3 linked regions of the Saccharomyces cerevisiae S288C genome follow. The main gene of each other region encodes a partner of the protein of the gene in region 3 in a complex. Each region holds a gene or a part of one and is shown on either strand. Other genes may lie near its edges. The genes, in order: RSM19, PET123 and MRP51.

The links.
Region 1: MRP51 (region 3) and RSM19 share a complex: the UniProt entries of both Saccharomyces cerevisiae proteins name them as parts of the mitochondrial small ribosomal subunit.
Region 2: MRP51 (region 3) and PET123 share a complex: the UniProt entries of both Saccharomyces cerevisiae proteins name them as parts of the mitochondrial small ribosomal subunit.

What each region holds. Positions count from the first base shown.
Region 1 is NC_001146.8:694,552-697,080, forward strand, and holds RSM19 (mitochondrial 37S ribosomal protein uS19m RSM19), read right to left. Parts: upstream 777-2,529; coding exon 501-776; downstream 1-500. Other genes in the region: mitochondrial 37S ribosomal protein uS12m MRPS12, read right to left, coding at 1-271; putative ATP-dependent RNA helicase DBP6, read left to right, coding at 1,044-2,529. UniProt on the Saccharomyces cerevisiae protein: Component of the mitochondrial ribosome (mitoribosome), a dedicated translation machinery responsible for the synthesis of mitochondrial genome-encoded proteins, including at least some of the essential transmembrane subunits of the mitochondrial respiratory chain.
Region 2 is NC_001147.6:630,098-633,734, forward strand, and holds PET123 (mitochondrial 37S ribosomal protein mS26 PET123), read left to right. Parts: upstream 1-2,066; coding exon 2,067-3,023; downstream 3,024-3,637. Other genes in the region: SUMO ligase NFI1, read right to left, coding at 1-443; PUP1 (proteasome core particle subunit beta 2), read right to left, coding at 869-1,654; mRNA splicing protein SME1, read right to left, coding at 3,185-3,469. UniProt on the Saccharomyces cerevisiae protein: Component of the mitochondrial ribosome (mitoribosome), a dedicated translation machinery responsible for the synthesis of mitochondrial genome-encoded proteins, including at least some of the essential transmembrane subunits of the mitochondrial respiratory chain.
Region 3 is NC_001148.4:324,966-328,330, reverse strand, and holds MRP51 (mitochondrial 37S ribosomal protein bS1m MRP51), read right to left. Parts: upstream 1,704-3,365; coding exon 669-1,703; downstream 1-668. Other genes in the region: isopentenyl-diphosphate delta-isomerase IDI1, read left to right, coding at 1-467; putative DEAD-box ATP-dependent RNA helicase DBP1, read left to right, coding at 2,067-3,365. UniProt on the Saccharomyces cerevisiae protein: Component of the mitochondrial ribosome (mitoribosome), a dedicated translation machinery responsible for the synthesis of mitochondrial genome-encoded proteins, including at least some of the essential transmembrane subunits of the mitochondrial respiratory chain.

The sequences.
Region 1 (2,529 bases), on a different chromosome or scaffold from region 3:
CCACGTTCCCGTTAGTCAAACGGACCCTGCACGCCTTTCTCTGCGCAGAATTCGGCTTCTTGGGCTTTAAAACCATTACACGTAATACGACACCCTTCCGCTGGGGACACTGATCCAGTTGTGGAGCTGTACTTATCTTCTTGCGTCTTGGAGGCCCGGAGCCTCTTTTAATCTGATTCAATGTCGCTTGCATTGTCGTAGTGGAGGAAAACAATCTCTGCGCCTGTCTCAAGGGCGTACACCATGTGTTGGACATAAACCTCGACAACATGGCTCTTGTTGGCCTGCTTCAATTCTGGTGTACCTGTAAGTTCTCCGTCTTTTCCCTGGTTATATGCGTTTTTTCTCCCCAAATCGTTTTGTCGCTCGGGTAAGACTGAAATGCTTTTAAAAGCACTATTACTGTTTATTATGCTATATATATATATATATACAGCCCGAGTCTGGCTTGATCTTATTTACATGATATATCATCTAGAAATCTATATACACTAGATCCCTCATTTGTTCTTGGTTTGAGTATAGCTGAAACGCTTCCTGGTAGGTGCGAACTCGCCCAGTTTGTGGCCCACCATATCTTCTGATATTTCAATAGGTACGTACTCCTTACCATTGTGTATTTGAAATTTCAGTCCCACGAACTGAGGAAGGATGGTGGCGGCCCTTGCGTTTGTTCTTATTGGAGTGCCCTTAGTCATGGCCTCCCTTATGGGTAATGGCACGATGTTGGGGCCCTTCCATACGGACCGCGATAAAAGTCTAGCTGCCGGTTGCATTTTATTTTTGGTGGACACTACTTCTGCCGATGCTGTACTGCTCTTGCAATGAACCTCACCGTTTTAAGTCATGGTTAGATTCTTACTAGGCGCTTCCAATTGCCATTTCTTGCTCAGCCATAACCGTGAATAGTGATCCAAACGCTAATGCCGGGTGATGCTTAAAATTTGAAAAATTATTGCAGATTTGTATTATATAGAAAGCATAACTGGCGATGAGATGTGCTCGAAACTGGACACCTTTACCATTGGTGACCGGTAGTGACAATGTTTGCATCGAGATTTGACCCTAGCCAATTGACTGCTCCTGCAGCTAGCGCACCAGAAGGAATCGTCGGAACTACTCCCCCGGCCATTGTGCCTTTAAAGAGGCAGGCTACTGAATCTGATAATGAAGAATATGGCTCTCACCAAGATTCTGATGAGAGTTCCAACTCTAGTTCAGAGGAAGACGAAGACCGTATGCAAGTAGATTATGGGGCTAGTGAAGAGGATTCGAGTGAAGTGGAAGAGGAAGAGAGTAAGCCAAGTACTCACAGCACAGTGCTATCGAGATTCAAGCAAACAGTATCATTGCAAGAAAGGCTAGGTGCATCTGATATTGCTGAGAGTAAGGAAGACGAAGGTATTGAAGACGAGGCGGCCTCAACTCACCAACTAAAACAGATTCCTCAACCTGAATTCGTCAAAAACCCAATGAATTTGAATACAAATTCATTACAGTTCAAATCTACGGGTTGGTTAAATACTGAGAAGATATATTATGATAATTCCTTGATCAAACCGTTCTCGGATTACGCAAATGAATTAGAAGCAAAACTACTGCAGAATATTTGCAAGAATTTCTCTACAAACACTTTTCCCATCCAATCGATCATCCTAGACTCCATATTACCGGTATTGAACTTCACGTTGAACGTATCTAAGAGAAACTTCACCAGAAGAATCGGTGATATTCTTGTAAATGCTGCTACCGGTTCAGGTAAAACTTTGGCTTACTCCATTCCTATTGTTCAAACCCTCTTCAAGAGACAAATTAACAGACTGCGTTGTATAATCATCGTCCCCACAAAACTATTGATAAACCAAGTTTATACTACGTTGACAAAGCTAACTCAAGGGACGTCGCTTATTGTGAGCATTGCCAAATTAGAAAATTCTTTGAAGGACGAACACAAAAAATTATCAAATTTGGAACCAGATATCTTAATCACTACACCTGGTAGATTAGTAGATCATCTAAATATGAAATCGATAAATTTGAAAAACCTAAAGTTTTTGATTATCGATGAGGCTGATCGTCTTTTGAACCAGTCCTTCCAGGGCTGGTGTCCAAAACTAATGTCCCATTTGAAAACGGATAAATTAGATACACTTCCAGGGAACGTGATCAAAATGATCTTCAGTGCGACATTGACTACCAACACAGAAAAGTTAAACGGCTTGAACCTTTACAAACCAAAGTTGTTCCTGAAGCAAACCGATAAATTGTACCAGCTACCTAACAAATTGAATGAATTTAACATCAACATTCCCACGGCGAAAAGTGTTTACAAGCCATTGATATTGTTGTATTCAATATGCCAATTTATGGCACATTCCCCCATTGCTGCAAAGATTTTGATTTTCGTTAAATCAAATGAATCGTCTATCAGATTAAGCAAGTTACTACAACTTATCTGTGAATCTCGCTCACAATCCAGCGTATTGAAAAACCTTCAAAATTTGGCGGTGAGTATTAATTCTGTCAATT
Region 2 (3,637 bases), on a different chromosome or scaffold from region 3:
TGTTGTTGGGAATAAGGTGGCAATGCAGTACTCTGGAGAGCTGTCACGGGTAGTTGCCCCGATGCTACAGGATGCTTGAACGCACCCGTCTTTAAAGTTTCCCAAAGGGTAGAGTATTTTGGTAATGATGAGTTTATCCTTACTTTCGCGATAAGAATCTTAATAGCCTTAGGCCTCCACGGATCTATATGTCCAATATCACAGGATTTTCTTAAGAATTGTTTTATTCGGTCTTGTAAGACAGCCTTTTTGCCCGTTATGGATAAATCCAGAGATTTGCATATTTGCTTTAACTCTAGAACCTTTAATTGTTCCATTTCATTTATTGCATCTTTTATTTCATTTATGAGTCCACCACCTGTGTTGGACAAAGGGTTCGTAAACATATAACTGGCATTATTATTATTATTATTATTATTATTATTTGACATGACACTTGCCATCGTGCTCTTTTCCCTTATACGTTTCTTGATTATCAGTGTATCGTTTGTGGTATTCTTAGTTCCTTGATATTTGCCTCAGTAATAGCCCTTTAAAGACCAACAAACGGATGACTATAGAAATGTTAATTTTAGTGTTATGTTATATGTGTGGTACTGAGCTGTGTTTGTTATATTATGCTCTGTGTGATAAAATAGCTAAAATGGATGGATAAATTAACACGAAAATTAACGAACAAAAATCAACTAACACACTTCAAAGCATAAAAAAAAGAAAAAAGAAAAAGAATCAAGAACAAATAATAAGCTCTGCTATAAGAAAATATATTATGTAAATAGTTTTGCGGTTAGTTTTTGACTTCCTTTATCACATTTTGTTGAACAATGATTTACTATACTAAAATATACTTAAGTTCTATGTTTTACTTTCAAGCCGTTATATCGACTTGTTCTTCTTGTATGTCACAAATATTGACAATACTCTCCTTCAGCACAGCAGTTGTACCCCTGGGGAATTTGTAGCTTTTCTGCTTTTCTTCTCTAACATTTGGAGTCAAGTAATTCCTCAAGTATTCTGCATCTTTACCTATTTCCATGACACACACATCCACATTAGAACCAGACCCCAAATCATTCCAGATACCAGCCTGGATTGCATCAGAGGCCAACTTTATGGCTTCCTCCTTCGTAAGGTCTTGCTTCCAGTGTGATTCCAACACAGCCATTGCCGCTAGAGAACCAGATCCTAGAGAAAGGTAGTAGCCCACGTCAGTAGAACCATGCGCATGAATGGAGAACAAATGAGATCCCGTAGGGTCTACACCTGCAACAATCAAATAAGCACCAATATGACCTTGGTACTTAAATAGGTGCTGCTTTAGCATTTGTAAAGCTGAGACCACTCTTGGTTCTCTCGAGGTATATAAGGAATGTAATTCAATGTTAGACCCGATCAACTGCGTAACTGCCTCAGTATCGGCGGCGGTACCGGCACCAGCACACCATATTTTGGGGGAAATTCTATGCAATTTTGCGCAATTCTTATCTGCGACAATTGGACCTTGTGTTGATCTTGTATCTGCTGCAATCACCACTCCGTTATTGAATTTTACGCCTACAATGGTGGTACCCGTGGAAGTTGCCTTAGGTTGTGTGTGCGAGTTTTCCGCTAAGAAATTATTTCTTTGATAATTGTCGAACGATAAACCTGCCATGCTCACTCAATTCTATTTTCTACAATCAGGTTTATGTGGGGGGAGTATTCCTGAAAAAATTTAACGCTTTACTATACAAACTCTCCACCTCAACTGATCACCCTTCTGCTGAATTATTAGTTTATCCTTTTCATCTTTCTTTTTGGTATTTTGCCACTCGGCCGGGTTATAAAATACGAAACATGGCCCTAATTTACCCGCTTTTACAATAAAGGGTTTGTAATGAGGGTAAAAATATTGGCCCTAATGAAAAATCACTAGCAACGGAAGTGCAAGTAGAACCCTGAAGTCGCCGAGTAGGAAAGTGATTCCCAAGAGGAGTAGAATAAAGAAGAGAATCTACATATGGATTATTTAGGTAATAGTTTCATTGCTGATTGTCAACAACAATAATAACAAGGATAATTGAAGTATGGGGAAAGGTGCGGCCAAGTATGGTTTTAAAAGTGGGGTTTTCCCCACAACAAGGTCCATTCTGAAGAGCCCCACTACAAAGCAGACTGATATTATTAATAAGGTAAAATCACCCAAGCCCAAGGGTGTTCTTGGTATTGGGTATGCCAAAGGTGTAAAACATCCAAAAGGATCACATAGATTATCACCCAAGGTAAACTTTATCGACGTGGATAATCTCATTGCGAAGACCGTTGCTGAACCCCAGAGTATAAAATCCAGTAACGGTTCAGCACAGAAAGTGAGATTACAAAAAGCTGAATTAAGAAGAAAGTTTTTGATTGAAGCATTTCGCAAGGAAGAGGCTAGGCTATTACACAAACACGAGTATTTGCAGAAGAGGACAAAGGAACTGGAAAAAGCAAAAGAACTGGAGCTAGAAAAACTAAATAAGGAAAAATCTTCAGACTTGACTATTATGACTCTAGACAAAATGATGTCTCAACCTCTTTTAAGGAACAGATCACCAGAAGAGAGCGAATTGTTGAAGTTGAAAAGGAATTACAATCGATCGTTGTTGAACTTTCAGGCGCACAAGAAAAAGCTAAACGAATTATTAAACCTCTACCATGTCGCTAATGAATTCATCGTTACAGAATCCCAACTACTAAAGAAAATTGATAAGGTTTTTAACGATGAAACGGAGGAATTCACTGATGCCTATGATGTAACTTCTAACTTCACGCAATTTGGAAATAGAAAATTATTACTTTCAGGTAACACCACCCTACAAACCCAAATTAACAACGCAATAATGGGCTCTTTGTCAAACGAAAAGTTTTTCGATATTTCTTTAGTGGATTCATATCTGAACAAGGATTTAAAAAACATTTCCAATAAAATTGATTCCAAATTAAACCCCACCTCTAATGGAGCTGGAAATAATGGTAATAATAATAATACAACCAACTTGTAAATAACTAATATATATACTACTTCAACATGTCATGTATTCGAAAGTGCCTTAGACGCATTACAACTAAAGAAAAGAAGAAAAAAAAATCAAATCGAGAATAAATATGCCCATGTATATACGTCACTTGCGAATTGTCTATTTCTCTCGTTCCCCTTTTTCTTTCAGTCCGCTGATGTTATCAATGTGATATTATCGCCTTTCAACAGGATCTTCCCCAAGGGCGTGCCCTTCTCCACATCTTCTTTACCATCGGCACTATTCACAGGAATTTCCACGGCTTCATCGATGACAACATTCATGAACTCATCAAATCCAACTATTTTACCCTTGATTCTTATGCCGATTTGCTCGAATAACCATATCGTTACTGGTGTTTGCTGTTGTAAGAAGTTAAATATGCAATTTATTGGTGGCACCATGGCCTTGGTTTTAACTTTGTTCGACATTCCAAGCCTCTTGTTTTTCGCTCTATATCCTTCCTGTGTTCCTTAATCTCCTTTCCTTAGTATTATCTCTTACCTTTACCATCTATTATTGTTATTTCACTTCAATTTTCTATTTCTCTGTTAGATGCTCAGGCTTTCGGTATAATTGAAAAAAATTTTCGAACATAA
Region 3 (3,365 bases):
GGACTAACACATGCTGCTCTCATCCACTATGTATTGATGACGAATTAGGTTTGAAGGGTAAGCTAGACGATAAGATTAAGGGCGCTATTACTGCGGCGGTGAGAAAACTAGATCATGAATTAGGTATTCCAGAAGATGAAACTAAGACAAGGGGTAAGTTTCACTTTTTAAACAGAATCCATTACATGGCACCAAGCAATGAACCATGGGGTGAACATGAAATTGATTACATCCTATTTTATAAGATCAACGCTAAAGAAAACTTGACTGTCAACCCAAACGTCAATGAAGTTAGAGACTTCAAATGGGTTTCACCAAATGATTTGAAAACTATGTTTGCTGACCCAAGTTACAAGTTTACGCCTTGGTTTAAGATTATTTGCGAGAATTACTTATTCAACTGGTGGGAGCAATTAGATGACCTTTCTGAAGTGGAAAATGACAGGCAAATTCATAGAATGCTATAACAACGCGTCAATAATATAGGCTACATAAAAATCATAATAACTTTGTTATCATAGCAAAATGTGATATAAAACGTTTCATTTCACCTGAAAAATAGTAAAAATAGGCGACAAAAATCCTTAGTAATATGTAAACTTTATTTTCTTTATTTATTTACAGAACTCTGAATATACATTGATTGTTCACATTTTTTTTTTCTCTTCTCAATTTCCCTTGATTATATTCAAAAGGTTATTGGCCTCTTGAATGTTTCCCACTGATGGTCGACGTGCCCTTCTAGAGGTCAATGGTTTATAAATTGGTCTCTTATTGAAAAATTCTCTGGTCTTGTCATTTTGTGGTTCGAGTAATCTAGCGTGCATCGAAACAGAACCATTTTTCTCCATAGATGCCTCCAAGATCTCGAACAAGAACGTTTTCATTCTGATGAAATCTCCCATGGAGTTAAAGGAACTAGGTGGTGATTGGAAAAATACCACATCGGCCACAAACCCACCAATAGCTGCCAGCCATTTATTGTCGTTGTTCTCCTTAACAACGTTCAAGATTCTACCGGGTACTACAGTCCTTTGAATGACACCATTTGGTGAGTTTTTTAGCTTTCCTGGCAAGCTGTATGATAATCCACCTGTACCAATGATTTCAGTGTTAAATTTTTTATTCGTTTTTGTTTCCAACTTTTTGTTTAGAAACTTCACTACATAGTCTTCCAGCTTATTAGAATTCAATTTCAATTCATCCGGATGATTTTCCACCAGCCACTCTTTAAATTCATCTTGAAACGATCTAATTAGTGCTGTTATCTTCTTCAAACGCTTCTTCATAGCAGCAGGCGAAATATCTGTATCTCCTTTCATTTCTTTGAATAAGGACAATTTAGCATGAGACTCATCCTCAGGACGAGATATGTACTTGAAAAATGGATTTTGTCTGCCTATATTAGACACAATTGGTACTCCCATTTCTTGAAATCTTAGCCTATTCCATTGCGTACCGCCTCTAGGTTCGAATGTGGTAATTCTTTCCAACGTATCCAAATCGTTGTACACCAAATATCGAGATTTAATTTTCGAAGGAATAGCGGATTTCAACCCCCATTCTTGTCTGTATAGTGTCGATGGCTTAGTTTCGATGATTTGATGTGTTGGATGAAATTTTTTGCCAGTGTATGTCAATGGTTTATGATTGTTAGCTACTTGAGCTATTCTCGACCGTCCAAGCAACTCTGCCAATGTCATTTCGTTCAATTTTTTCTAAAATAAAGAAAAAGAAAAAGAAAAATGATCGAAACAGTCTCACCAAGGGTTGTAGCAAATGTCTGTATGATTTTTTTTCTTCATCACGGCACCTATTCGTATTGCTCCTTTAACTCTACATCTAAGTTCTTCATTCTTTGATTTCTCAAAACAAATATCACTGTCAACGTAAATATTACCCCGCGAGTTCTTTAACAATTTTAAGGGAAGGTTACTTAAGGTCATCTCTGAAGTAATGCCTTTATTTTATAACAAGGATTATTCATGATTATAAAAGATATCGGTAGTGTCAGTTAAAGGATATTTTAAGAAAAACCCCTTTGAGTGAAAGTATTACAAGAAAAAATGGCAGACTTGCCACAGAAGGTATCTAATTTAAGCATCAACAACAAAGAGAATGGTGGTGGTGGCGGCAAATCATCTTATGTCCCACCGCACTTGAGAAGTAGAGGAAAACCATCATTCGAAAGAAGTACCCCAAAACAGGAAGATAAGGTTACGGGTGGTGATTTTTTCAGACGTGCTGGAAGGCAAACTGGGAACAATGGCGGGTTTTTTGGCTTTTCTAAGGAAAGAAATGGAGGGACGAGTGCGAACTATAACCGCGGAGGCAGCTCAAATTACAAATCATCTGGAAATAGATGGGTAAATGGCAAGCATATACCGGGGCCTAAGAACGCGAAATTAGAAGCCGAACTGTTTGGTGTACACGACGATCCCGATTACCATTCATCTGGTATAAAGTTTGATAATTACGATAATATTCCCGTAGATGCATCTGGAAAAGATGTTCCTGAACCTATACTAGATTTTAGTTCTCCCCCTCTGGATGAGCTGTTAATGGAAAATATCAAACTTGCTAGTTTCACCAAACCTACTCCAGTACAAAAATATTCTATTCCAATAGTTACCAAAGGTAGGGATTTGATGGCATGCGCACAAACGGGCTCAGGTAAGACAGGTGGGTTTTTGTTTCCGCTCTTCACGGAGCTATTCAGGTCTGGGCCCTCTCCAGTACCCGAGAAAGCACAGAGCTTTTATTCTAGAAAGGGATATCCATCTGCTTTAGTACTTGCACCAACTAGAGAATTGGCTACCCAAATTTTTGAAGAAGCAAGAAAATTTACGTATAGATCTTGGGTTAGGCCATGCGTTGTTTATGGTGGCGCGCCAATCGGTAACCAGATGAGGGAGGTTGACCGCGGCTGTGACTTATTGGTGGCTACACCAGGGCGGCTGAATGACTTATTAGAACGCGGAAAAGTTTCTTTGGCTAATATCAAATACCTGGTATTGGATGAGGCTGATAGAATGCTAGATATGGGATTCGAACCCCAAATTCGCCATATAGTTGAAGAATGTGATATGCCCTCTGTGGAAAATAGACAGACCTTGATGTTTTCCGCCACATTCCCAGTAGATATCCAGCATTTGGCACGCGATTTCTTAGATAATTATATTTTTTTATCAGTAGGAAGAGTCGGTTCCACCTCAGAAAATATCACGCAAAGAATATTATATGTCGATGACATGGACAAAAAGTCTGCGTTGTTAGATTTACTGTCTGCAGAGCATAAGGGATTGACATTGATTTTTGTTGAAACGAAAAGAATGGCGGATCAACTCACAGATTTTTTGATCATG